Lonchura striata: one gene and its partners. The protein of the gene in region 1 purifies or fractionates together with the protein of each later gene. This does not show direct contact. Links are inferred from orthologs where the notes say so. Each region holds a gene or a part of one and is shown on either strand. Other genes may lie near its edges.

The links.
Region 2: the proteins of LIG3 (region 1) and TDP1 purify together in Homo sapiens (affinity purification with mass spectrometry; 4 studies listed by BioGRID and IntAct, with this or other methods). This does not show direct contact. The link is inferred for Lonchura striata from reciprocal best matches to the Homo sapiens genes LIG3 and TDP1.
Region 3: the proteins of LIG3 (region 1) and APTX purify together in Homo sapiens (affinity purification with mass spectrometry; 3 studies listed by BioGRID and IntAct, with this or other methods). This does not show direct contact. The link is inferred for Lonchura striata from reciprocal best matches to the Homo sapiens genes LIG3 and APTX.

Annotation. Positions count from the first base shown.
Region 1 is NC_134622.1:6,057,908-6,065,507, reverse strand, and holds the start of LIG3 (DNA ligase 3), read left to right. Parts: upstream 1-4,559; 5' UTR 4,560-4,665; intron 4,666-4,871; exon of another isoform or gene 4,872-4,903; 5' UTR 4,904-4,922; coding exon 4,923-5,463; intron 5,464-5,942; coding exon 5,943-6,059; intron 6,060-6,900; coding exon 6,901-7,098; intron 7,099-7,469; coding exon 7,470-7,600. UniProt on the Homo sapiens protein: Isoform 3 functions as a heterodimer with DNA-repair protein XRCC1 in the nucleus and can correct defective DNA strand-break repair and sister chromatid exchange following treatment with ionizing radiation and alkylating agents.
Region 2 is NC_134608.1:17,272,529-17,279,529, reverse strand, and holds the start of TDP1 (tyrosyl-DNA phosphodiesterase 1), read left to right. Parts: upstream 1-3,909; 5' UTR 3,910-3,991; intron 3,992-4,575; 5' UTR 4,576-4,579; coding exon 4,580-5,126; intron 5,127-6,546; coding exon 6,547-6,590; intron 6,591-7,001. Other genes in the region: EFCAB11 (EF-hand calcium-binding domain-containing protein 11), read right to left, coding at 2,656-2,764, 3,693-3,719. UniProt on the Homo sapiens protein: DNA repair enzyme that can remove a variety of covalent adducts from DNA through hydrolysis of a 3'-phosphodiester bond, giving rise to DNA with a free 3' phosphate.
Region 3 is NC_134642.1:48,009,892-48,017,141, reverse strand, and holds the start of APTX (aprataxin), read right to left. Parts: upstream 3,093-7,250; 5' UTR 3,092-3,092; coding exon 2,910-3,091; intron 2,876-2,909; exon of another isoform or gene 2,875-2,875; coding exon of another isoform or gene 2,744-2,874; intron 2,077-2,743; coding exon 1,940-2,076; intron 1,239-1,939; coding exon 1,192-1,238; intron 1-1,191. Other genes in the region: dnaJ homolog subfamily A member 1, read left to right, coding at 3,880-4,011, 4,123-4,300, 5,366-5,470, 5,567-5,794, 7,145-7,250. UniProt on the Homo sapiens protein: DNA-binding protein involved in single-strand DNA break repair, double-strand DNA break repair and base excision repair.

The DNA of each region.
Region 1 (7,600 bases):
ATATTTGTTCACTGGGGTTATTAAAATTCTAAATATCTTCCTTCTTTTATTTGATTTTAGTGAGATTCCAGACATTTTCTCAATACCAAGAAGATTGGATTCATTGGAATATAACTCTGACAGAAGTCTTGCAAGGAAACTTTAATTTTAGTCCAAACTCCATTAATTTAAGATATCCCTAGAAGATCTGGACAAGGTGAACCTTTTTTTATGAACTATTTTCAACCCTGGTTTAGGATGAAGCTATTTTTTTTTTCCTTCTTAACACTGAAGAAAAAGCCTAAAAGCAAAACTTGAGACCATTATTTTGCTTTCATATATATCTTAATTCCTGACAGAACTCCTGATGGCCGCTTTGCTTAAGCAAGGACAGACTTAGACATTTAAATCTGACTTTTTGGGTGTTATCTTCCTGCTGCTAGTGGAATAAACTACTTAAAACAGAGTTCTGCTTTCGTGGGTGCCTCTCTACTGCTCTGTCATTGCTGCCTTTTGCATAGAGAGCACATTATGGTAAGAGGCTCAGCTCAGCAATTCCAGTATTTGCTACCAAGGGAGACTCCAGCAGTGATTTCTCCCTGATCCTTGGTGAAGGAGCAGGGATTTGTCTCCTGATTTTCCATCAGTGAACTCAGTGACCTGTGGTTTTGTGGATAGATTCACTGGACATATTGTTCTACTCACAGCTTTTTGAAGGTACATCCAGCCAAAAGGGGAGTTGAAGGAGTTCATTCCAATAAGACTCTAAAACCCAAAGTATTCACAGAAATCACAGAATGACTAGATTGGAAGATACCTTCAAGATCATTAAGTCCAGCCCAGCCCCAACACCTCAACTGAACCACGAAGTAATGTTAATTATTCCCCTTGCACACAAACCTTCCCACCCACAATAAGAACAGTGGATTCACATTGATTTCAGGGGAAGAATGTGCTTGCAGAGAACATTTAGGAGCAGTGACCAAAATCAGGGCCTGACAGGCCACTTGGAACTTTCTTATCACTTCTTAATGCCATCTCAGAGCTGTTAGCCACAAAAAAAGATGATAAGATCCAACTGAAACAGGGTAGATTTACAGTAGATATTGGAAAGAAACTGTTCCCTGTGAGGGTGGGGAGGCCCTGGCACAGGGTACCCACAGGAGCTGTGGCTGCCCCATCCCTGGAAGCATTCCAGGCTGGGTTGGACAGGGCTTGGAGCAACCTGGGATAGTGGAAGGTGTCCCTGCCCATGGCAGGGGGTGGAACTGCATGAGTTTAAGGTCCTTTCACACCCAAACCCTTCTATGATTCTACAAAGAAACAAGGTTCAACTTTCTACCAATTCCTTTGGAGCCACATTAGAAAATCAGCAAAATTAATGCTCTGGGCTGCAGAGTCTTCATCTCCTTCTCAAGAGGAGGAAAACTGGCATTGAGAGTGCACCAGCTTTGCTGCTGTCATTCCCAGGCCTCTCCAAAACAACCCAAACCAGCATTTGTGTGTGTTTCTCAGAGAGGAAATTTATCTAAAACTCCCAGTTTCTCACGGCAGCCTTCTGCCACCTGCCTGTGCTCGCTGCATCTCTCACTGCCCGGCCATCAATCTCCAGTCCTGCACCACTCTGCAGAGGGGCAGCCTCCTACTCCCCTCCTGTCCCTGCTGCCATGCAAACCCCTCCAGGCTGAAAGGAGCCAGCAGCAATTCATCTCACCTCATTGAGGCTTCTGAAATGTTTCTCTGCTGCCTGAAGGCTCTGCCTGTTTAGCTCATTTAGCTGACTTTTAGAGTTAGGGCAGCAGATCCCACAACTGCCAGGTTGCTCAGTTGCCTTATTTATTATTATATATCATTTAAACCTGATCATGAGGTGCTGCAGTGTCAGCCCTTGCCTTTCCATCTCTTTCACCAGGCTCACAATGAATGGGACACCTCACCACGGTGCCATGAACTCTGTGCTCCCAGCAAGCTCTCTCTGAACGCTGCACATCACAGCATCTGAACACCTCATCTTCACCTGGTTTTTGTTTTCTTCCCCTCTAAAATCCCTGTGTTCATACAAATTCCTGCACCCACTCACTGCTGGTTCTGTAAATCATTTCTCAAAGCAATCTGAACTACTAAAAATCAAATCACATTGAAGTCACACATTAAAATTTTAATCCAAATGCACTCAGCCAAAAATCTGGAGCGTGGTGGTCATCTGGGTGCCTTCCACATAAAGTCCAGAGCAGGAAGACCTCTGTGAATCCCTCTGCAATTCCTCTTTTGTGACTCAAAGCTCCCAGTTGGATTTGGTTGGATGAGCTTTCTTGTTTCTTTGGTTTTGCGGTTTCCTCCACTTCTGAGCCATGAGGGACAGGAAGGTTCATTTCCATCATGAGCTTATGGATTGAATGCATTGCCTGAGAGTAAATATTGCAATGTAAAATATTGCAAATGAATGCAGGCTGTCTGTGCACAGCCAGATCCCAGTGATCAGAAATGCCTATGTCGGATTTCATCCCAATTTTGTGACCAGGCACAATTGTTACACTCACTCCCAGCTCCAAACAGTGTGGTTTGTTTGATGTGCTGGGGAGAAGACTGCCTGTAGCTTGCTTTAAAACCAGCTGGAGGCCAGCAAAAAGACAGATATGTGGCTGGGGAAGCAAATTCTCTACCTTATGTCTCATTCTGCCTTTGAGGTCAGAGACTTGGCCATGTCAACCCACACAGCATCCTTTCCACGGATGAAGGTAGGAATCCAGTGGAGCTGTGTACTGCATCTGTTCCAGCCTCCTCAGCAGCCTCCTGGCACAGCACAACAGCACTTCCACCAGAGGAACAGGGGTGGCTGCCACCAGCAGAGAGCCAACAGCTGGGCTGCAGGTGTGTGTTTACCTGTACTGGGATGAAGGGCTGTTCTCAGGAGCCTGGGGTGGTACAGCAGCACCTCAAACCCACACAAACACAGTGCAAAGGACAATTTTAAGAGATTATAAGGGCAGCACTTCAGGCCTGTGCAGGTACTGAGGGCCCAGGTGATATGGCAGCATCTCAAACCTGCACCAGCATGGCATAGTACCCCTGAAGGGACAGCTTCATGAGGCTGGGGATAAAGCAGTGGCTCAGTGCACAAACACGGTGTTAGAACTCTTGGAGGGACCACTTCTATGGCCAGGTGATCCATCAGCACCTCCAAGCTGTGTTAATGCAGCACAGCACTCTTGGTGAACCAGTGTGCCTCAGCCAGGAACAGGGCACCGCTCACACCTGCCTTTTCCAGTACTCTGGAAAAGCCAACTTTGGCAGGTCGGGAAGTCATCATCACCTCAGGGCAGGGGACACTGCTGCAGTGGAGTCAGCCCTGTGGGGGGGACCAGCCATCACCTCAGGGCACGGACCTGGGACTGCCTGAGGCAGAGACCCTCCATTGCCGCAGGTGCAGAACCCCATTGCCTCACGGCACAGAGCGGGGCACAAACCCTCCATGGCCTCATGGCACAGAGCGGGGCACAAACCCTCCACTGCCTCATGGCACAGAGCAGGGCACAAACCATTGCCTCACGACACAGAGCAGGGCACAAACCCTGCATTGCCTCACGGCACAGAGCAGGGCACAAACTCTCCACTGCCTCATGGCACAGAGCAGGGCACAAACCCTCCACTGCCTCATGCACAGAGCGGGGCACAAACCATTGCCTCACGGCACAGAGCGGGGCACAAACCCTCCATTGCCTCATGGCACAGAGCAGGGCACAAACCCTCCATGGCCTCATGGCAGAGTGGGGCACAAACCCTACATTGCCTCACGACACAGAGCGGAGCACAAACCCTCCATTGCCTCACAGCACAGAGCAGGGCACAAACCCTCCATTGCCTCACGACACAGAGCGGGGCACAAACCCTCCATTGCCTCACGGCACAGAGCGGGGCACAAACCCTCCATGGCCCCAGGCGCTGTCCCAGTGCCGCCCCACAGCACGGACCCTTCCCCACCTCGGGGCGGGGAGCCGCTGCCAGCTCAGGGCACAGTCCCTCCATCGATCGCCTCATGGAGGGGGAACTCTCCGTTGTCCCAGGGCGAGGACCCGGTGCCACCTCTGGTCCTGGTCCCAGTCCCGTCCCAGGGCACGGACCCAGTGCGAATCCAGGGCACTGGATTCTCTTCCTGGCCCCAGGTGCGGTCCCGGTGCCACCTCAGGCACGGACCCGGTGCTGCCCCGGGCGCGCTCCCGGTGCCGCCTCAGGGCACGGACACTCCCTGGCCCCGGGCGCGCTCCCGGTGCCGCCCCAGGGCACGGATCCGGTGCTGCCCCGGGCGCGCTCCCGGTGCCGCCTCAGGGCACGGACCCGGTGCTGCCCCGGGCGCGCTCCCGGTGCCGCCTCGGGGCACGGACCCGGTGCTGCCCCGGGCGCGCTCCCGGCGCCGCCTCAGCCGCGCCCGAGGCGGGAAAACGCTCCCGGCGCGCGCTGGGGGCGGGGCTCAGACGGGCCGATGGGGCGTGGCCTGAGCGCGCCCCCGCGGCCGCCGCTCGGGCAGGAAGGGGCGGGGCCGGGCGGCGCGCGCGGCCCTACGGAAGCCGGGCCGGCGCGCTCGTGTCCCGGCGGCGGCTGAGGCGGCGGCCCCGGCCTGAGGGGCTGCGGGCGAGCCGGGGGTCCGGACGGGGCGGGGGACGGGATGGCGGCACCGTGAGGAGCTCGGTGAGCGGCGGAGGGGCAGCGGGAGCCCGTGGTCGCGCCGGGGAGGGCAGGGCGGGAAAGCGGGCTCGGGGCGAGGCTGTGGCGGGAGAGGCCTGGGAGCGAGGAGGGGGCCGTGAGGGGCCGGGCTGTGGGGCAGCGCAGCGCGGGCGGTGGCGGCCGCTGCGGAGCGGGGGTGAGGGCTGGGTTGGGCGGGTCCCGGCGGGCAGGGGGTGCTGAGTGTCGCCTGTGTCGCTCGCAGCAGCCTCGGCGCGGACTGGATGCCCGCGGGCGGCCGGGCGCTGTCACACGCCGCCCGCGCTCTCGGCCGGGCCGCAGCGCTGCTCTGCCCCCGCCCGCAGCTCCCCTCGGCCGCAGCGTTCTCCCGCTCCGCCGGAGGCAGCCCCGGGTGCTGGTGGCAGCTGCTGCTCCAGCCTGTCCCTGTGCCATCCCCGAAGCAGCGCGGAGGTGCCGGCGCGTCCCCGCTGCCGCTCCCGCTGTCCCCGCTGCGCTCGGCCTGCGCGGCCGCGGAGGACATGGCAGAGCAGCGGTACTGCGTGGACTATGCCAAGCGAGGCACGGCGGGCTGCAAGAAGTGCAAGGAGAAGATCGTGAAGGGGATGGTGCGCATCGGGAAGATCGTTCCCAATCCTTTCACCGAGTCCGGAGGGGACATGAAGGAGTGGTACCATGTCAAGTGCATCTTTGAGAAGCTGGACAAAGCCCGGGCCACTACTAAGAAAATTGAGGATATCACAGATTTGGAGGGGTGGGAAGAGCTGCAGGATGAGGAGAAAGAAACAATCAACAAGTACATCTCAGGTGAGGCACGAGGCAGTTCCAGGGTCACTTTCCTCCTTATTTTCAGGTTATGCCAGAGGTTGTTACCAGCTGTGCCTTTGCCATTAAATCCTCGTGGATTTATTTGTGTGGCTTAGGGACAAAACATGTGCTGCTGTTCCAGCCCCTGCCTCAGCTGTGTAAGAAAGGGAAGAAATGGTCACTTCTGCAGTGACACTCCTCAGTTCGTTTGTCACAACTAGTTCTGGACAAGAGCTATGTGATTTATTTCATAAGCAAATAAAACCCATGGTGAATCATCAGTTATTTTCCATTTCCACATTTTTCTGTGATCTTTAATAAATTACATATTCTTCTAACTTTTGTTACCTGAAAAACATCTTTTTTTTCTCCTCCAATTCCCATTTCTTTTAAGGCTTTTTACTTTGTAAGCCACATAATATGGTGAGTGATGTATGAGATTATTCCTGACTGCCTCTTTGAACCTTTCTGCTTTCCAGAAGCCAATTCCAAGACTGGAGGTACCCCAAAGAAAAAGGTGATAGTGCAGGCAAAACTCACTGCCACAGGACAGCTGACCACAAAAGATCCACCAAAGAAATTCTCTGGATTCAGTGGTAAGAATTAAGAAATGGTTCTGAGAAATTCATTTTTTTAGTCTCAGCATCAAGAGGTGTTTCTGCTTGGCTCAGATCAGTAGGTTTTTATCTATAGATGATTCTGGTTTGTCAGTGCTTTCTTAGGCTGTCAGTCTTGAAAGAACATCTTGAAAGATGTGTGGATCTCCAGTTTTCCCAAGGAAACAAAGGTTCTGCTATGACCCACATTGTCAGGCTGACTGGCTCATTGCAGTCAAACTGAAGACATAGGCTAAAGTTATCCCACGTGGAGCTCAAAATCTGGAAAAAAACTGCTGAGGGATTCTCAGTTGTGTTCATGGAAAACTTGTCCTGAGGAGCAGGACAGTCCATCTTCCATCTGTGAGCTCTGACTGACCTGACACCCACCTGGAGCCACAGCAGAGCCAAAGACATCAGTTCCTTAGGGATTGGTGTTAGGAGAGGATGGGGATGTATTCCCCAATTTTAGAAATTACCTTAGAGAAGTGTTTTGCTTTGAAGGCTAAAAACCCATAAAATAGAAAAAAAAATCTCTAAAACAGAGGCATCTGGAAGGAGAAATTAATTTTCACCATGACTTAGCCATACTTTTCTGGTAGAACCAAGATCTAGGAAATTCTGGTGTGATGTGAAGGGTAAAAATAATTGGAAGGTTTTTATAAAAGTCATAGTTGGAAGGTTTTTATAAAAGTCATAGTTGGAAGGTTTTTATAAAAGTCATAAATTTTAGCTCTGAAGCTTCGCCAGCACACTGGGATTGTTCCCAGCTTGCCAGGCAGAGATAATTTCAACATTTGCTCCGTGTTGTTAAAAACAACTTGTGGTGTGTTTGATGCAGCTAAGCCCAAGAATTCAGAAGATGCCCCTGCAAACCCTGCCCAGAAGCCCAGCCTGTCTGCAGCCAGGTGTGATCCCAAGCACAAGGACTGCCTGCTGCGGGAATTCCGCAAGCTCTGCGCCATGGTGGCTGAAAAGCCAAGCTACAATGTGAAAACTCAGATCATCCAGGACTTCCTCAGGAAGGGATCTGCAGGAGGTATGGCTCCAGCTGGGAATTCTCAGCTCTCTCAGAATCAGTTTCAAAGGCTGATCTCTAAAGGAAAGGGGAAATTCAGATCTGTTGTGTGGTCCTAGCCTTGTGCTGTGGTGATTTCTGAACTGTGGTGGTAATCTTTGAAAAGTGAACTCCTTAAATAGTAAATTCAGACAAAAATTACTCACTTGGGTGCTGTAGGTGCCAAATTTAGTGCTGAGGTCAGATTTAGAGGCAAATTGTGGCTATTTTCCCTAAGAATTCCAAGCTACAACTGTGGATTTTATCCCCAGGGTTTGGACACAGCCAGCCAGAGCCTGGACATGAAAATAAATCCTCACTGCTATAATGTGCTTTTTTTTTTTTTTTTCCAGATGGTTTTCATGGTGATGTATACCTCACCATTAAGATGCTGTTACCAGGTGTCATTAAAATAGTTTACAACTTGAATGATAAGCAGATTGTAAAGCTGTTCAGCAGGATTTTTAACTGCAACCAGGAAGAA
Region 2 (7,001 bases), on another chromosome or scaffold:
CCTGGACTCTCAGGAACACTGTAGAGAGTGCTTTTAGTTAGATCTAAATGTAACACTACCAGGAAGGGAACTTCAGCTTGGGAAATGATGTATTTTAATGACTACAATTCCTGAAGTCTCCTTTTCATTTGGAAGATGAAATGCTAGCAGCTAGTTAGCTGAATGGTTGCTGAAATATAAGAGCATTTTAGATGACTTTAAATAGTTTTGGGGAAAAGAGGATCATTGAACCAAACTGACAGAGAATGAAAAAAAAGTCACATAGACATGATTCCTACAATGTTGCTATTTCCCAGAAATGACAGTATTTATATGCAGACATACATACAATATCCATTCAACAATGAGTTTAATCTCTGTTTACATTTTTTCCCAGTTATTTGCCTCAGAAGGTTTAATTATAAACACTAAAATTATATAAAGTTCAAATTTCTATTAATAACCACACTAAAATAGTATTTTACTCACAATATAGCATTGTTATAACAAATTATTTAGAAAAATCAAGCGGAGCAGGAATGTGATTTAAATTCTTAGAGCTCACCTTTTCCAAGGAAGAGTTCATTCATGACATCTAGCGGGTAAAGTTAGTATTACTTTTAACTTACAGAATAAAGGCAAACGCGACCAAAAAAAAAAAAAAAAAAAAAAAAAAAAAAAAAAAAAAAAGCAGCAACAATTTACTAAAAATTCGATTGCTTGATTGCAGTTGATGATGCTAAGCAATTGCCATTTCTACTGAAAAAAAAAATGTTAGTATGTAGTGCAGCTGAAAAACAGTTTCACCTTAAGAAATAATGTATGCACACTATTCCCCATGTCCTGCAAAAACAATTGGAAGGACTCTCCTTGCCAGGGATGTTCTTAACCATTTCCAAAATAATAGAAGGGCTGTTCCTTTAGCCTATGATTTTGTTAATTTTGACAACAAAGCAATACGCACAATAACATGCTCAAGAACTGGATCTTAACAATTAACTTTTAGGATTGCAACATCTGCATTTGGTTCCTCTCTGGTACACAGTGAAAGTTGTGTCTCTCAGAACCAGATTAAAAACCATACGCACGTTGAAAGGAACACACTCAGGACCCAGTCATCAGCAAAAGCAAAACATGTGGTTGTGCTACAAACCTTGCCTAATGCACACTAGCAGAAGCCACAAAAAGAAAAGTATCTGCTTCCCCAGGGACCTTTTAGAGATCTTCACAATGAGCAGTAATTGGGTAAAGGGCAACAGTTGCTGGAATTGGGCCCACTTAAGGAGCTAGCAAAACCACTAGATGACAGAATCAGCCCTAGAACAAAGGTTTCTTAATTAATTTTTGTGCAGCTGCACAGACCAAATGGTCACAGTAGTGCCTAAAGCCACAGCAGGTGTGATTTGGCACCTTTTCAGGAAGAAATAACTAAACCTGCATCTCATGTCTTCCCAGGAGTCCTCTATTTGTATTCTCTTTCCAAGGAGATGCCATCAGTGACTCATGCACAGTGCCTGCTCTTGTTTAAATGCCTTAAGCATGTTTTGAGTACTCCTGCTGTAAGAAACACTCAGGGAATTTGACAGAACACTTAATTTTTATATAGTAAAAATATCTAGGAGAAGATAGATAGGGAAGAAGTTGAGCAGTTTGAGATTCATAATTCAATAGTTAGGACTCACATCAGAAGCCTTAAGCATTTTTAGATCTGGCCACAGTTCATTGAAAAAATGTTTACCCACAGCTGAAATATATGAGAAATTACTACTTTCATAGTTTACTAAAATATTTTTGTGGGTTTTACTAAATTATCATAGATACAATTTTGCTTATGACCTTATCAAGACAGTTTTTGTAAACTATGTGCTTAATGTAAAAATAATAAAAGTAATTATTTGCAATCAGTCATTGGGGAAGAAGATTGCTCAAGCTGGAGAAGAAAGATGATTCAGCCTTTCCATACTTTATATATATAATACACATTATAGTAATTGGTCTCATTTATTGACATGCCATGAGAAAGACAGACTCACAGATACACTATGTGTATTCTGAAATCTTTTGTATTCTTTATACTCTTTTTAATTCACTTGTACTTACTTGAGTAAAAATATTACTTCTAAAACTACATCAAGCCATACAATATATCCTGTATTTTCCTGTAAGTATGGAAACACATTATTTCTCTCAATTAATCTTTCTTTTCTTAAGATTTCTATAGAGCTGTAGATTTACATTTGAGAAGTCATGCCTAAAAATGTCCAACTATTAACTATTACCTGAAATCAAAACCAGATATATTTTTGAGAATACGTGTTTATTATTGGGACATGTAGCAGTTTCACAGTTACTGAGACCACTGAATAAAATTGAATGTACCACTGATAAAAACCAGTAACAAGCTCAGTAAGTCACTTATGTATCTTGTACACATATGAAATACAATACAACTTTCTACTGATCACAGTCTTCAACAGAAAAGCCAGGGTTTTGATTATTTTCTTTTGGAATAAATATGTGCAAATTAGAAAATTAATTTTAGGGTTTGTAGGCATTTCTGTTTACCACATCTACAGCAATCCACTCCAGTTAGTGTAGGCCAGTCAATATATAGTATTTTCAACAGTGAGACATCTATAAGCTGGATCTTCAGAACATAAATGGAAAAGTATATACCTTTGAGGGTTTCTAGAAAAAAAAAAAAAACCATTACCAGACCAACTGTAGAGTCTTCTCTGCTTAAATAGCCTTTGCTATCTTCATTGCACACTTCAAAATCCTGCAGAAAGAAAGTGATTCACATAAAAAAACCAATAAACCTAACCTAGGATTTTTTATTTTGCAAAACTGTTATGGGGGAAAAAAAGAGGCACTTGTTGAATCACTTCTATTCATCTACTCTGTTCCAGTAAAATTGAAAGTGGGAGCACATTCAGTTTGGGATTTTAGGTTAAAATAAAATTTTTCATACTATTACATTTTATGTGCTTATGATGAAAAAGCTTTTTGCAAACTTAGACTACATAGTACAGACTTATAGGAAACAAATCACATGAAATTTCCTTCTAGCAGACTATACTTTTTTTTTCCTGAAAAATGCCAGATAACTTTAATTCTCAGTTAAGTCACCACACAGACAGGAACTATAAGGAGAGAGTGCAATGAAAGCATAGTCAGAAGCCATCAAACTTTCTGAGGTACTTGCAGAAAACAAAAAAACATTTCCAAAGAGAAGAGACTACACAGAGAACATACAAAGCCATCCAACGTTCCTAAGAGCTTTTCCCACAGAACACCTTCAGGAAGGGTTAACAATACAGCATCATATCGTACAGCAGCAAAGGGTTTACCCACAGAACATTTCAGGGAAAAGTTACGTACGACTCTGCGGACAAGCACTGAGAAAATTACACAAACCAGCGGAATTGTCAGGAAAGCTTTTCCTGGAGTAACCTGCCGTTTTCATTGCGTGTTGGCACTTCCAGAATTTGTTAACTGCAGCCACAAGCTTGCAACAAATTAGAGTAAGGAGAGCCGAGCGCTCAGTTCACCGCAGCGCGCTTTGATGCGGGCCGCGCTCCTCCTTTGATTAATATCACACCTGCTTTCCTCCCTCTCCTTCCCGAACTCCTCACGCACTTATCTCATTAGCGGGGCACTTCAGATACAGTAATTAACACCGCGCCGAACGAGCCATTATGCAAATTCCGCACCTGCCCATAATTAATATTAAGGTCCATGACGGCTGGTTAGAATAATTCAGCTCGCCAAGCCTCGGCCGCCCTGCCGCGGCGGCCCCGGAGCGCCTCGCGGCGGCCCCGGAGCGCCTCGCGGCGGCCCCGGAGCGCCTCGCGGCGGCCCCGGAGCGCCTCGCGGCGGCCCCGGAGCGCCTCGCGGCGGCCGCGCTCCGGCGGCTCGGGGCGGGGCCGGCGCGGGCGGGCGGGGCCCGGGCCTGCTCTGGCTCTCGCTGCCCTGCGCGGGCGCTGCCGGGCGCCGGCGGTCGGTGAGCGGGGTGAGTGAGTGAGTGAGTGAGTGAGTGCTGGCGGCGGCCGGCGGGCTGCAGCCCCGCAGCGGCTGTCGGGGCTCTTTGCCGCGGCGCCGCCGCGGGCGCTGCCTTCGCTGCGGGGCGGCCGCGGCCGGGCTCCGCCGCCGGGGCTCGGCGGGAGGCGCGGCGGAGGGGCGCGCTGCGGGCGCGGGGCCGGCGGAGGAAGGCCGCGGTCCCGGAGGGTTCCCGCGGGGCCGCCCCGTGCTCCTGAATCCGCTCAGCAGACGCCTCAGCCGCGGGGAAATACCTGTGTCGTGCAGCTCGCACCTCTGATTTTTGGAGTGCTTTCTCATAGGAGTCTGTGTCTTATCCCGCTTTCCATGTGTTGGTTTTCACATTTGCTGCTTCCCATTTGATGGTTGCCACCATTGCACGTGTTTCTTTGTTTCCCGGGCACAGAAACAAGTCGTGTACGGTATGAAGTTTCCCAGAGAACCTGCCAAATACCAAAGCACGGTTCTTAAGTAATAAACAAGTAGGAGGTAGGAAGGGAGACAGACTTGAGCGTAGCAAAAACGTACAATTTTTGTTTGGTGTTTTTTCATTCCTAGGAACATGCTTCAGGAAGGTGCACACGGTAAATGGACAGTATCTAGCAGCGATGAAAGTGCTGATGAAAATTCTGACAGTGAAAAACCATGTACATCTTCACTATCAGATGCTACATGTGGTAAAACAAGTGGACCACAATATCCATGCTCTGAAGCTAGGAAAGCTGCTCTCAAGAGAAAAACTTCTCCCCTGAAGTTCACTGATAAAAGTCTTTCTACAGATGCACCTCCAGCAGTAAAACAGAGACCAAGCCAAGAAGGCTCAGGTTGGTGTCTTTCTAGTAGCGATGAAGAGCCTGAAGATCAGCAAAAGCATGTTCACAAAGAAACAGTGAAAGAAGAAAAATGTGATATGCCTGAAGAGCATCCTCTGAATCTTTGCAAAGATGACAAACTCTCGGAGAATCTGAAAGAAGAGGAGTATAATGTAACACCCAGTGAAGCCCAGGATACCTGGGATTTGGTGACTGGAGGCAATCCTTTCAGGTTTTTTCTCACTAAAGTCAGTGGAATTGAACAGAGCTATAATTCTGGAGCCCTGCACATAAAAGGTGAGCAAGTGTCTTCTACTAGAAGAGGGCTTTTGGGAGAAAGCAAGAGAATGCTTATTTTTGGTTTGTGGGTATTTTTAAATGCATGTATTTCTTAGTGTTGCTGATATTTCATATTCTAAATGGGCTGGTTCATAGAAATTGTTTCTTTTATTTGGGCCTTTCTCTTTCAGAGGTATAAAACATTATTTGCTGATACTTTGTTGTAACTTGAATTAGGCGGCAGAAATATAAAGTGTATTTAGCCAAGACAAATCATGCTGCTTCTTACTGCTGCTTTCTTTATGAGCTAGTCTGGGGAAAACCACTTGTGGCATTTAAAGGGATGCTTTTCTTGGGTGCATAACTCTGAGTAGTTGTTTGCACCTGCCTCTGTGCTGTTGATTGGTTTGGACCTAATAATTCACTATTAATAGGTGAAGTACTTCTGAAGTTCTGTGTCTGGGGTTCATGTATCTGTTTAAATTCAGCTGTGAGAGAGCTGTCCATCAGTCAAGATGGAGTGGAGCCTTTGGTGTGCAATACTGATGCTTTAGGAATGCTCTGTTGTCATTTGATGTTGGGGGAAGAGCTTTGTGCACCTTTAAACATCCCTGTAGTTAGAAATAAAATTTTATACATCACAAGACAGAATCAGAAACAAGTATCAGTAAGAGAATTGTGTACAGAAATACAATAAAATAAAGCAGAAAAAAATAGTAGTTCTTTGAGGGAGAAGAAATTACTTAAGACCTATATATACAATTAGGTTGTAACTTTTCCTCAACCTCATGCCTACTAGCACAAGCAGGCGTGAGGGACTTTAGAGCTTTAGTCCAGGATGTTTTTATATGCTTTGTGAATTTGTGGCTTTTGGACTGTCCTGTCCTGGGAGTCCTGCTAGGTGATTAGTTGAGCTGGTGGACAGGCAATATTCTTTGTTTAACCAGCTAAACCAGCTTCAGTTGTGGTTATAAATCCCCAGTTGGATTAGTTTCCTGTGCTACTGTGATTGAACTATGAATACACATATCCCACAGTCAGTCTGCAGCAGATAAAATAAGCATTGACTTATTGCTTTTAATACTTAAATAAGCATGCCCTTATTGCTGCCACCCTGCCACAGTTCTTCAAGTCCACTCAATAGTGGAGAGAGTAATTTAATGGCCCTTTCTCAAGATGTTGTTGAACTTTTTCCCTATCAGCTTTTAAAACTTGTTTAATACTTTGAGAGGATTATTAATTTTTGTAAGGATATGATCCTAAATGATTCACAGGGGAGTCAGTGACTTGAATACTTAGAACAGTAAACTTGTGAATGCCTCTGTTACACCAGGTCTATGAACAATCTGGCCTTTTTGCTGTGGTATCAAGCTGTTCAAGATGCAAAACATTTACTTGACGTCTTTTTTATTTATTTGTGCTTTAATATTTTTAATAGATATTTTGTCTCCTCTTTTTGGAACTCTCGTATCTTCTGCCCAGGTGAGTTTCCTGTTTGCCAAACTGATTTCACTTGCTTGCTTCACTTCATTAATCTTAAACTTGATAATCCATGCTTGTGCTACATAGCTGCTATTAACAGGGAACCTTGTTAAAATACAGAGGGAATTCTAAATATTTTCAACTGTTGAACAATTTACTGAATATAAACACTGTCCTATGATCTGCTGTAGAATTCAGGGAATTATAAGACTACTTTCTCCAGTTTTTGAGGAAAGTGAAACTGAGAAGCATGTATTTATGCTCATATAAATGAGGATTTTTGAAAGAAAGAACACCTTGCAATTTAGGAATAATATCTTTGTTATTGCCTAGAAGTTTTGCTATCATTGATGATATAAACACATGGCAAAGAGATGATCCTTCAACCTAAGCTTTTACATTATGTGCATT
Region 3 (7,250 bases), on another chromosome or scaffold:
CCATCAGAAGGAGCCTGGGTCTGCAGCAGCTACACAGTTACAGCATCACTTGTGCTGCACTTCCCTCACAAATTAGACACCTATGAAACAACTAGTTACAACTGTTACATGTAACAACTGTAACAACTGTTACATGAAGTAACAACAGCAACTATTTCTGAAGAGCAACTGTAGTTTTAGCAAATTATTTTTGTGCAATCAAACTGTGTTGTAGGCAACCTACAGAGATTGCTTGACAGATGGATTTTGCATCATCATGTAGGTGACCTTACAAAAATTAGGAGTCTTCAGCAAAATGCTTTTGGTTAATGTATATGCACAAAACGGGTTTTAGGAAATCAGCTCTCTTCTGTGACTGATGAACTCAGAGTTTTTGCTAGCTTTGTCACTGCCATACCTGCATGCTTCACAAGACAGTACTATACCTCTCACTTGGAATTCACTGCAATGAAGCACACACCTGATTCCAGCCAGGATCTCTTTAGTCTACAGCTATGCAGTTTCCCTCAAGTCAAGGATGCTTCCCATCAGTGAATAAAGTATCAAACAACTGATCACTGGAACCTTGTGCCACACATCTCTCACCTGGGGAGCAACTCTTCACACACACAAGCAGCAGTACCAGAGACCTTTCCCTTCCTATTCTCTCAGAGACTGGGTTTTGTAAAGTGTGAGGGAATAGGCCTGCCTCCATCCATCTGGTAACATTCCTGCAGGGCTGTCTTACATCCCATCCCTTCCTATAAGTAACCACATCTCTGGCCCTATCAGTCCACCAATAAAAATGTTCTACAACTGCATAGTCCCATTAACACAAGAACTTCAACCTTAAACAAAGGGCTGCCTCAGCTTATGAAGTTTAAGGCTCAGGAAAAAGATAAGCAAGTTTAGTAGAAGAAGTCCAAAGTCTCTCAAATGCAGCACCCAACAGAACTGATTGAGTACTCACAACAGCATTCCCTGATGCTACAAATCTGGCTGTGTTAGACTGGAATGTATCTGGAATGAATAGTGCAACCTCTCACTGAGGTGCACAAATAAGAAAATACACTTGCTGTAACTTCTCTTGGTGATAAGAAAACTTCAGGTCCCTCAGACACCGTGATTAGAATCACCACTTGGAGCAGTTGTGGAGTTAAGTACAACTGTCCCAGTACCAGAAATATTGGAGATCCATGCATAAAAACATACCTGTTTAACTGTGACATAACCCTTGTTACAGTCTGCTTTTAACTGAACTGGAAAAGAAAGAACAAAGTGTCACAAAACCATGTAAATAAAAAGAACTCTGCTGAACCACCCAGTCCAGAAAACACTCCTCTTTTTGAAGAGCCATATCTTTCTGGAGCTAATCTTTGTGAATGCATGCCAAGAATATTTCTGCCTCATCTCTTCATACCTCTTCTCATACCACAGGTAAAACAGAGTCAACCCATACACTGAGCCAAGGGTGGAATTACTTTGGAACAAAGGTGGATTCTGTTGATATTTATACATATGCTTGACATTCTAACCAGCCCACTGGGACAATAAGGCATAGAGCAAGACTGTGTCCAGAGGCACAGAATATAACACAGGGAAGATGTGCAGTATTAAATAAGTGATAGGTATTTTCATATATTCTCCAAGATCACATTATTTTACATATTAAATAATAATTATGCTAAAAATCAGTTGGTGGAATACTAGGGAGAAGAAGTGCTGCTCATGAAGTGAGCAGTGAAACACAATTGTGGGCCTGGGAACTCACAAAAAGCTTTTGTATGTGGAGGCGGACGTCCTGTCTCTGATTTTGTAGGCCCCAGAGATCCCCATAAGTGCTTATTAAAAAGGCTTGATGACTTCAAGAAGCAGGCAACACTGCAGAACACACAGAGGAACAAGGCACGCTCAGTTGCTGCTGCACGTGGAAAGCAGGATTTGAGCTAAATCACCTTACCTTGCTGACGTGAACACTTCTTATCTGTTATCCCAGTCTCTGGGCCACGCCCAATTACCACAGGTTCCAAGTGTGGCAGTTTCACCCGCTGAGTGCATTTCTCTTTGCTCACAAGCCAGCACATACGCATCACTGTGCTATAGAGCAAAATAAACAGTGTGTTACCAACACGCCACTTTCTGATGGGCTACCTTGCTGTGGAACATGGTCCATGAATTCTGCTACCATTAGGTTAGCCAATTCTATTAACTTGGTTCAAGTTTCTGAAATGCAAAGCAAACCATGTCACCAGCACTTGCATAATCCAAGAGCAGGTTGCTGTTTGAAAGGGCAATACTGTTTTCCTTCCTACACTACCATACATTCTCACATCTGTGAACCATATATAGGAAAAATCAATTTTATTGACAGTTCCATCTGACAGAAGAGCCTAACCACAAAAAACGTCACTTTGTTTCCCACTGAATCAGAGTTCACCGAAGAGATTAATTTAACAACCAAAATAAGAGAGAGCAGCAGAAGACAACACATGATGAGAGAGTTGTGACAGCTTCATCCAGCAACAGTCAGCACACGGACCATGCCATGTAACCTTCAAGCTTACATCAGTTTGACCCTGGTAAAGATCCCTCATGAGCTCTGCACTGGAGAGCTCATGCCTGCGGAAAGCAAGGCTCGGTCCCCAGTCTAACGCTGGCATGCCACACACCCATCCCCACGGCACACGTCCATCCCCACGGCACACACCCATCCCCACGGCACACGTCCATCCCCACGGCACACACCCATCCCCACGGCACACACCCATCCATCCCCACGGCACACGCCCATCCCCACGGCACACACCCATCCATCCCCACGGCACACACCCATCCATCCCCACGGCACACACCCATCCCCACGGGAACATGCCCATCCCCACGGCACACACCCATCCCCACGGGAACATGCCCATCCCCACGGCACACACCCATCCCCACGGGAACACGCCCATCCCCACGGCACACACCCATCCCCACGGGAACACGCCCATCCCCACGGCACACGCCCATCCCCACGGCACACACCCATCCCCACGGCACACACCCATCCATCCCCACGGCACACACCCATCCCCACGGGAACACGCCCATCCCCACGGCACACACCCATCCCCACGGCACACGCCCATCCCCACGGCACACGCCCATCCATCCCCACGGCACACGCCCATCCCCACGGGAACATGCCCATCCCCACGGCACACGCCCATCCCCACGGGAACACGCCCATCCCCGTGGGCCCCGTTCCCATGGCAACGCCTGACCGACCCCTCCCCCTTACCGCGCGCGTGATGTTCGCGCCGCCGCAGCCGCCACTGCAGCCAATCAGCTGTGGCAGCGTGTCTCCCACGTGACTAGAGGGAGGCGCCCGCCGCGGCGCGTAGCTCCGCGCAGGCGCACTGGGCCCGCGCACCCGGGGGTGGGCGCTGGGCCCTCACAAAGGGGCAGTGCCGGCCGGCCTTGCGGCGGCGGAGCCAAGTCTGCGTAGGGTGAGGGGGGTAAGGCGCGGAGCGTTGCCGGAAGGCGACGGCCGGGCCGGCGCTGCGTACCCGGTGCTACTCAGAGCCTTCGAGGGCGGGAGCGGCCGACGGCGCAGGCGCAAGGCGAGGCGGACGCTGGGCAGGGACGGCGCCGCCCACGCGGGGCGGGGCGGGGCCGCGCTCCAGATCGGCGGCGGAGGCGGGCGCAGATTGGCCAAGCGCCTTCCCCTCCTGAGCAGCCATTGGTGGGCCACTCGCCCGGGCCCTGCGCGCGGCGGGGCAGGACTTCCGGGGCGGGGCCGGCTGCTGAAGCGGCGGGGCTGCGGGCCCGGCCCGAACTTTCCAGAAGAGTCGGGATCGGAGCTGCGCGGAGTGGGATCCGCGACCGCCGCCCCGGGACCCCCGTGCCGCCACCGCCATGGTGAAGGAGACCACCTACTACGACGTGCTGGGCGTGAAGCCCAACGCATCCGCCGAGGAGCTGAAGAAGGCCTACCGCAAGCTCGCACTCAAGTACCACCCGGACAAGAACCCCAATGAGGGCGAGAAGGTCGGCGGGACGGGACGGGCCGGGGCGGGGGGGGCCGCGCGGGAGGGGTCGGGCGGGAGGCCCGCCGGGGGTGCCGCGGGTGCCTGAGTGCCGGTGCTGTTCTTTCTGCAGTTCAAGCAGATCTCGCAAGCTTACGAAGTGCTGTCGGACCCGAAGAAGAGAGAGCTCTATGACAAAGGAGGCGAACAGGCTATCAAGGAGGGTGGCTCCGGCGGCGGCTTCGGGTCACCCATGGACATATTCGATATGTTCTTCGGCGGTGGAGGAAGGATGCAGAGGGAGAGGCGAGGTAACGTGTTGGCGAGGGTATCAGATTCTCTGAGGGGAATGCCTTAGATGTAGGAGTTTAAACAGAAATTATAGACTTAATCTGAAAATTGGAGAAAACTCTTGTCCCTTAACACCTGAAACACCAAGGGAGGGCCCTTGGTTGGTGTGGTGGTAGTTGGGTATCCCTGTGCACTGTCCCCTGTTAATCGCTAAAGCAGGTGTGTTCGGAGTACTTTTAGCTTGAGTGTAAGCCCAGCTGCTAGTAGACAAAATAGGAAATGGAAGGGTAAAGTAGCTTAAAATGGTTTACTAATTAAGTTACTGTAACTGTAGTATCTAAAAGCAACTATCTAAATCAGATATCAAGATCCAGTTCAGTCTGTGAAATTTTTCTGTGTTCCTGCACTGTGCAGTGGAATTAAGTTGAAACTGCGGTAAAATGCTACCCAGAAGTTAAACTCCAGTTTAATCACGCTGGGAAAAACTTTAAAGCTGTTAAGAGCAGTGCTGAGCCTGTCACCTCTTAGTGAAGATCTGTTGAAAAGATGAAGAAAAAATGTTTTGTATCAAAATGTTAAGAGTGTCAAAGTACTTGTAATAACCCAGAGCTCAGCATCATTTACAAAACTAGGCCTACAGCAGCTGAAGTGCTAAGGAGTTCTTGAGGGTAAAAATATAATTGCTTATTTTTGCTTCCAGAAGGTCACCTGGTGAGAGGAAGGAAGTGCTGAAATGGAGATTCCAAACAGAGTCTCTGCCTTGTTTGTAGATCTTTTTGGTGACTTTGTTGAAACCTGAGTCCTGCATTATAAAACTTAAACGTTTGAGGTTCTGTGTGTTCTGTTGCTCATACTTGTTTGTACTTTTCCAGAAGGTCTCTTCTGACTTTAACAAAGTCAAAGTCATGACAACTGTTACCTAATATGACAGCACCTGGGAAGAAGCTTTTGACTAATACAAGCAAAACAAGACAAACCTCTATCGATACAAGATACTGAAGCCCAGAGACTTAGTTTATCTTGGCTTGGCAGGGAGATGTGCCAACCAAGCTTCTAAACTTTAATTAAGTTCTGTTCTTTTACAGGTAAAAACGTAGTCCACCAGTTGTCAGTAAGTTTAGAAGATATGTACAATGGTGCGATGAGGAAACTTGCACTGCAGAAAAACATTATCTGTGACAAATGTGAAGGTAATGTTGAAACTGAAATTAAAGAGATGTTTCTAAAGCTTTGGGGGATTTTTTTCTGGTAGCACATAACCACCTAACTCCATTTTTTGTTCTCAGGTCGTGGTGGTAAGAAAGGTGCTGTAGAATGCTGCCCTAATTGTAGGGGAACAGGCATGCAGATCAGAATTCACCAGATTGGGCCAGGAATGGTGCAGCAGATCCAGTCTGTGTGTATTGAGTGTCAGGGGCATGGGGAGCGTATCAGCCCCAAGGACCGGTGTAAGAGCTGCAATGGCAGAAAAATTGTTCGAGAGAAGAAGATACTGGAAGTTCACATTGACAAAGGTGAGGTGTCTTACTGAGGTGAAGTATTGAACTTGAATGTACTGACTGACTTTGCAGCACTAAAACAAAAGCTTTAGCAAATGTGGTGTTGATTTTGTGAGTAATAGTGCTGAATACACAGTAAAATTGCTTACTGCTGCCTTACAAAAGTAGACTTATTTTCTAGGGAAGGTCCACTATCTCTGTTCACTTCTAAAGCCTGGCACATAACTAAGAATGAATTCTGAAACCTGCGTTATTGTAAGAAGTGAATTATTTTTCAGGTCCCTCTAAGCCCAATTTGTGATCAGGTAACACAATCAATTTTCACTGCGTGCAGCAAAACTGCAGACTGATCACTTCCGCTGTGTTTCAGTGTGAAGGGGAGCCAGGTCTGCTATAGTGGCAGGGTGCACAGACAGTGCTAAGGCTCTCATGCTTAAAGCTCTGTTGACTACGCAGCCCTGACAGTGCTGCCCAATGCAGGTACCACTTCCTTGCCTGGCAAAATGCACCTCAATACACAAACCCTCAACGTGATGGGTGAACGGAATGGTATTGAATGACAAATGCATCTCTGTTGAGGGGGCTGCCCAAAAGCTGGTGGGAGAAGTCTGGAGTAATGCAGCTTGTAAGGCAGAGCACGCTGACAAGTACATGACTTAAACGGTCTTGCTTGTGATTATGGCCTGCAGCTGTTACATGTGTAAGCAGAGCTTCTGCAGCACCTGAATTTGTAGGGGAGATCCATAGTGGTAGTAAATATAAGGTCTAGAAGGGATGTATTACTGATATTTTGAACAGGGAAGTCTTATGAGAAGGATGTTTTTATAGAAGTAAGGGAAAAGATTTATGTAGGATAAGAAAGCTAGTATTTTTGTTCAATCGATTTCTTGTGTGGGTGAAACAAGTTTCTTATGGGAGGTTTTCAGTCCATAGGGAATGCTTCTTGGACTTGGCAGGCAATCAGATCATTCTTCATAAGGAGATGCGCTACATATTTATGAAAGTGAAGAAGCTGACTGGTCAACTGCTGTTGAAATAAAGTTTGTACACAGTGTTTGATTTCCTTTTTGTACTTGTGTGTATAATGAAAACTGTTTTGATTATATTTCCCTTTAGGACTTTATGTTGGTAGCTCTTTTGTCGGTGCAGTTAAACCTGATGGTTTTGAGACTGCATTCATGTTAGCACTGCTAAGATCTGTTAAATAAGTGAATGGATTTTAAAAAAAAGTTTCAAGGGAAGATCCTGATGTTCTTACTTAAAGATCCAGAGATATCTTGATACCAGCTCATGCCTGTAAAAGTGTTAGTTGTTGCTGCTTTTATCTTAAAAATAAGAAAATGGTTTCTTTGTTTTGTACAATAGGAATGAAGGATGGCCAGAAAATAACATTCCATGGTGAAGGGGACCAAGAGCCAGGTCTGGAACCAGGGGATATTATTATTGTCTTGGATCAGAAAGACCACTCTGT